2 linked regions of the Kluyveromyces lactis genome follow. The protein of the gene in region 2 interacts with the protein of the main gene of each other region in a pairwise test. Links are inferred from orthologs where the notes say so. Each region holds a gene or a part of one and is shown on either strand. Other genes may lie near its edges.

The links.
Region 1: the proteins of SRP1 (region 2) and PNC1 interact in a two-hybrid assay, tested with the Saccharomyces cerevisiae proteins (2 studies listed by BioGRID). The link is inferred for Kluyveromyces lactis from reciprocal best matches to the Saccharomyces cerevisiae genes SRP1 and PNC1.

What each region holds. Positions count from the first base shown.
Region 1 is NC_006042.1:2,078,835-2,081,632, forward strand, and holds PNC1 (nicotinamidase), read right to left. Parts: upstream 1,285-2,798; coding exon 628-1,284; downstream 1-627. Other genes in the region: OCH1 (initiation-specific alpha-1,6-mannosyltransferase), read right to left, coding at 1-27; VIR1 (Vir1p), read left to right, coding at 1,823-2,798. UniProt on the Saccharomyces cerevisiae protein: Catalyzes the deamidation of nicotinamide, an early step in the NAD(+) salvage pathway. Positively regulates SIR2-mediated silencing and longevity by preventing the accumulation of intracellular nicotinamide, an inhibitor of SIR2, during times of stress.
Region 2 is NC_006040.1:729,554-733,292, reverse strand, and holds SRP1 (karyopherin alpha), read left to right. Parts: upstream 1-1,487; coding exon 1,488-3,104; downstream 3,105-3,739. Other genes in the region: KAR1 (Kar1p), read left to right, coding at 3,593-3,739. UniProt on the Saccharomyces cerevisiae protein: Functions in nuclear protein import as an adapter protein for importin beta nuclear receptors. Binds specifically and directly to substrates containing either a simple or bipartite NLS motif. Promotes docking of import substrates to the nuclear envelope.

The DNA.
Region 1 (2,798 bases), on a different chromosome or scaffold from region 2:
TCTTCTTGAAATCTTTGGTAACCCCATTGTGCCTGTAAAATTAAGAAAATGCCCACAAATTTAATGTTTTTGGGATGTTGTTTGTGAATCAAACGATTAATTCTCTCTATCGATCCCTAAGAACTTTTTATCATTCAATGAAGAAAAAAACAACAAACAGCAAGAAAAAACCAATTTTCTAAACAGTAAACCCAATTAAATTAATGTTTCGCACACGCTCCAACTGTTGTTAAAACCTACACCTCTTGATCTATGATACGAATGTATATATGTACAGAATGTATATATGTACAGAATGCGTTTTTCTTTGCAGTGGTAGTTAATCATTTGATGAGATTTCAGCATGAAACTATATATGAAAAACTGAAAAAAAAAGGTCTATACAACCTTAGCGAAGTAAAAAATCTAAAAAAAGCTTTTGTACTGGCCAGAATCGACAGACGGGCGATACGGTCGTTTGACCAAGAGAAAGAAGATGCAGAGGGCAAGTAATGGATTCAGGGTTCAGTTCAATGATATGAGTTCATAGAGGGGTTCATAAATACAATCAGCGGTCGACGTGTACATAGCGGGTATTATATGTCTTGTGTATAGTTTTGAAGTTTCGGTCCATATAACATGTCCAGATCAGATGGACTCTTGAACTGAGACCTCATTTTTGGCCAATTCCTGGATGAACGATTCAATCGATTGCAAATCATTTGCGATAGCTTTAGTATAATCCTTGAGTATAGTTACATGGTAACCAAGGTTTGCAGCGCTTATTGCTGAGTTTTTTACGCAGAAATCGAATGCAAGTCCGACCACATAGATTTCAGTAACATCATTCTCTTTGAAAAAGGCGTCAAGTTCAGTGTGATGATCATTCCAGATATCGTTGAATCCGGAATAATACTCACGATCCGATAAGTAACCTTTATTGACAATCTTATGTGGCACCTTGAGCTTTAAAATTTCAGCGAGTAATTTTTCCGGAACCTCAGAGCCCCATGTCTCCTGGACACAATGGACTGGCCATAACGTAGCACTTTGTTTCTCGGTGCTCCCAGGAACGGGTGAGTCGTAGGTGAATGAACTGAAATCTGGTAATCCATGGTTCTTTGCAAAAGAAATGTGGTCTGGCGGATGCCAGTCTTTAGTCATGGCAACACAGTCCCAATCCTGATCTTGCAAAAGCTGGATGACAGGATCGATGATAGTATCACCATCTTGAACTGCCAATGATCCTTTTGGTGGTAAGAAATCGTTCTGAATATCAATTACTAATAACGCACGGGCTCCCATCGTTAACAAATACGGAGTCTCGATTACTTAGTGATGTTTGTGTCTCACGTTTTTTCACCGTTCCTTTATTATCTCCCTAATTTTTCAAACGGTTTGTTTTTTCAGTGCAATTTTCCCTTCAAGTATGTGCTACTTTATATACTAAATACCTACCTAACCGAGAGCAATGTTCGTCGTTCCGCAGAAAATGAACAGTCAAGACAGTGGTTGGTGCTAATTGCCTGCCTTGTATACATTGGATACACTGCTGCTTTGTACGGCCGTAGCATTTACAATCTGAAACATATCTACTTTATACTACGAACTGATCAACCCTTTTTTAATTTTTCGATCCTTTTTTCGTTATTGTCTCATAGTATTGGGCGTCTAAATCTTGAGAAAAAAGAATCTTCTGAAACTATATAAACTAAGGGGTTTTATCTTGGATCTTAATCAAGAGAAATAAAGTAATGATTATCCCGAACGCCAGAAGTGACATTACTTCGGCATATTTTGGAGCTTTGATTGTAAAAAAAAGCAAGCTTTCTTTCTGGTAAAGATGGATGGCATATCCTCAATAAGTTTACAACCAATTCAGAATTTAGATGGCTTATTTCGGATATTGGCGGCTAAAGAGACAGACGATTTACACAGGATTAATGTTTGGTATAAATTACTTGAAATATTAAGAGTAGCCGGGAATCAAGCGGTATGTATCGATCAATCGGTATGTGACAATTTATTGTCCAGATTATTGGTTTCTGTTTCTATGGTTGATGCCGTTGAAGAAGGTATTGATTTGTTTGGAGTAGCGTTTACTTATTGTTCCGTAAATGAATCACTTCAAACACTTGTATTTCAATTCATTAGTCAACTTGAAGAAAATTCTAATTTGAATTTATTATTCCTTAAGACTTGCAGTTTACGACCCCATAAAGATCATGTTCCCGGGTTCTACGATATAATTTTCCAATTACAGACTTTCAAAACATTGGATGCAAAGGTAATGCGATTCTTAGACCTTAACTTGGGAGATGTCATATTAAATTCATGGATTCCGTCTTGGAAATCGTGGATCGACTCTTTTAGGAATAATTGTAAAGATTTTGACGTTGTTCATTTTTTGGTACAGGAAAGAATACTAATTAAAACTGTGCAACGTCATGAATTGGATATGGCAATTGCAAACTTTCAAGTTTATCCTAGAAGGTTGAAGGCCTTATTAAATATTAAGACGGAAGCCACACAATATCTATCTCTCAAATTCATTAGAAGATCCTTAAAGTTCTTTAAATGGTTGAATAAAGACTTGCAAGGAACTGTCATATCTTTTTCCAGCAATTCTATGAACAATCACACCTTCGAACAACTCTTTCATGATAATGGAGAATTCTATTTGCAAGTGATCATGGAGATTGTCGATCATCCGGAACTAGAACTCTTAGAGGAATCTCATCTGTTACTGTTACTAAGAGTTTCTTTGGGACATGTGTGGGAAAAGTGTATCATGTCAAATCAAATATCAGAAGTGCACC
Region 2 (3,739 bases):
TCAAACTATATCACAAAAACTTAAGGATTTTCTTTCACCTCACTTTTATCAATCTTCGTCAACCCTGTTCGCTTACATCCAACACTGGATGCATAGGAAATGATTTGATTGTTCTTTTTTATTTCGTTTTTTTTTTACTTGGTTGTTTGATTCCATGAATTACCTATATTATTCTACTACCTTACCTATGTCGTTGCTGCGTGTCGTGAATGTGTGTCGTGTGTCGTGTCGCGTGCTAACAAATTTTTTGTTTTGAGTGTAAGTGTATTGTGTTAAATTAACACAGTATATACTACTCAATCTCATCTATCTGTGTCCTAATTTGAAAATTATTCCATTTCATGAATGAAAAAAAATTGACGTTTATGAACCGTACAGCAGTGTGTGTGTTGTGAAAATTCATAATCGTCGATATTTGGAGTATATATATAACAAAAAGGAATGGAGTGCAGTAGGTGAACCGTGTTTCTTTCTTGGCGTTGAATTCTGAATCTTTCCCGCCTGTTCATTCGAGCACTCATTTATTTGTGAGGGACATTTTCAAAATGCTGCTAGAGAGAACATGTCAATAAAACATCAACTGAGCGGTTTTGTCCATTCCTTTTTCTCTCCCTCAAATCATTCCATCCATCTCCAATACCCAGTGAATGTATTTTTGATGCTTACTAAAGGGGGAAATAGAAAAAGGAACTTATGCTAGTTGATTGTATCACAATTCTTTCGCTTCTACTCTCATCAACTTACCCTCATGTATACTTTAGTGTGTGTGTATCATGAGAATGAATGAGGAACGAAAACAAGGAATCCCCGGTGATATATTTATATTACCAACCATCCCAAATATATTATGTATACGTATATACATCTCTTAATATGTGTTGAAAAGTGTGTCAAATTGACCCTGCCCATCTTTTCCTGTCTTTTGATGTTAGAACCTTTGTCGTTTTCTTACACGAGGTTGGTATGTCACGTGACAACTCCGTACATCACGACTATCTGGCAAAGAAATTTCAACCAAAAAAAAAAATTCGAATTTTTTGGATGGCCAAAAAAGAAGGATTTTAATCAAGATGGATATTATATGGGATTGAATAAAAGATTGGTTTGCATTCTACTTCAATTACACTGTTACATATATAAAACAATACGGTGCTCTTGGCTTCCGATATATTTTTCTGTCAAGCAATACAAAGAAACGAATCAGATTTTCATTTACTCAAGGGGAAACGCTATTTGTGATTGTTAGAGATTGATTTTGCGACTGATAATTTCTTCTTTAAATCCAACTTCTCTTTATTTTTGTTTGATTTGGAACCCATTTGCAAAAATATCTACTTGAAAAGACGGGACGATCAATTGTGATTGTGAGTTTGGTAGAAAGGAATTAGTTACAATCTTTTTTTTTACTTCTCTGAATTTTCTTTGGTTCGCGGCTAGCACGAAGGATCAGATAGCAGGTATCCGTTTTATTATTTTATAAGTGAAAGATGGACGGTGACACTTCCAGCAAGTTTGTTCCTGAATACAGGAGGACAAACTTCAAGAATAAGGGTAGATTCTCTGCTGATGAATTACGTCGTCGTAGAGACGTTCAACAAGTCGAGTTGAGAAAAGTCAAGAGGGATGAGGCATTAGCAAAAAGAAGAAATTTCAATGCGCCTGTTGGTAACGATTCTGATGATGAAAATGATGATGATGACGATCAGGACTCCTCTTTCTACAGACAATTACAACAGGAGTTGCCTGCTATGTTGGAACAAATCCATTCTAACGATCTACAACAACAGTTGGCTGTGACGGTCAAGTTTAGACAAGTCTTGTCTAGAGAACACAGACCACCTATCGATTTGGTTATCAGTACTGGCGTAGTGCCAACCTTGGTCCAATTCATGAGCGAAAATCAACCTGAGATGTTGCAATTGGAAGCTGCTTGGGCGTTGACGAACATTGCTTCTGGTACTTCTGAGCAGACTAGAGTCGTCGTAGATGCGGGTGCTGTGCCATTATTCATTCAATTATTATATTCAAACTCGGTTGAAGTGAAGGAACAAGCTATTTGGGCCTTGGGTAACGTTGCTGGTGATTCCACCGATTATAGAGACTACGTTTTGCAATGTGGTGCCATGCAACCAATTCTATATTTGTTCGAATTGAACAAGACTTCCTTGATTAGAACAGCTACGTGGACTTTATCTAACTTGTGTCGTGGTAAGAAACCTCAACCAGATTGGTCTATCGTGTCTCAAGCTTTGCCAACTTTGTCTAAGCTAATCTACTCCATGGATACTGAAACGTTAGTCGATGCTTGTTGGGCTATCTCATATCTTTCCGATGGCCCGGTTAATTCGATCCAAGCGGTAGTAGATGCTAGAATCCCAAAGAGACTTGTAGAACTACTATCCCACCAATCTACGTTAGTGCAAACCCCTGCTCTAAGAGCTGTAGGTAACATTGTCACAGGTAACGATTTGCAAACTCAGATCGTTATCAACTGTGGAGCCTTGGCAGCTCTAAGAAATCTATTGGCTTCTCCAAAGGAATCCATAAGAAAGGAAGCTTGTTGGACCATCTCTAATATAACCGCTGGTAATACGGAACAGATTCAAGCCGTTATTGATGCTAACTTAATTCCACCATTAATCAGATTGTTGGAAACTGCAGAATATAAGACAAAGAAAGAAGCATGTTGGGCCATCTCGAATGCCTCTTCTGGTGGGTTACACAAGCCAGAAATTATCAGATATTTGGTCAGTCAAGGCTGTATAAAACCATTGTGCGATCTATTAGAGATTGCTGATAACAGAATCATAGAGGTTACACTAGATGCTATAGAAAATATTTTGAAGATGGGTGAAATGGATAGAGAAGTCAGAGGTATTGCCGTGAACGAAAATGCTGATTTCATTGAGAAAGCTGGTGGTATGGAAAAGATCTTCAATTTACAGTCTAATGCTAACGAAAAAATTTACGAAAAGGCCTTCAAGATCATTGAAAAGTACTTTAGTGATGAAGATGATGTTGTTGATGAATCTATGGCTCCACAAACAGCTGGTAACACTTTTGGATTTGGATCAAATGTCAACCAGCAATTCAACTTCAATTAAAACCAACTCTAGCTGTGCGTGTGTCATGTAATTACATTTGCTTTTTTTATTCTAGACAATAAATGAATACTACGCGCCTGTTAAATATCATATAATTTTTGCATTAATGTAATCTATCTATAGTATTATTAATCTACACTTCTCCCTTCATTGTGAAACAGAATTCTATGTCATTAAAGGGCCCAAGTCTTATTTGCAGTTTTGAACCACGATAAAAGTAAAAACTGTGCTCAAAAAACAGTATCATGGACCTTCTCTCTGTCATAGAAATTAGGTGACCAGTTAGGTGCATATCACTTTCGGTGTTACCTCTACATGTTCCGATGCATAATATCAACATTTAAAGGTTTGGATTTTTGTAAACCTTTAAAAATACACAATCGAAATTTCCTCGGTGAAACATCGCCTATAATCACACGAAAAGGAAATATCCAATGCATATGTGCTACTTCAAAGCTCGGAGTTGAATATTACGCTGATGCGATAATATGAGTTCAATGCCTGAATTTCTCAATCTGCGGTCTCCCCAGAGAAAGATTAGTGACTCACGAATAAAACGGATCAACAAAATGTTTGACGCGAAGATTAAAGATGAGGTATCAGTTGTTTCGAACAATAGCACAAGTGTTTTGCAA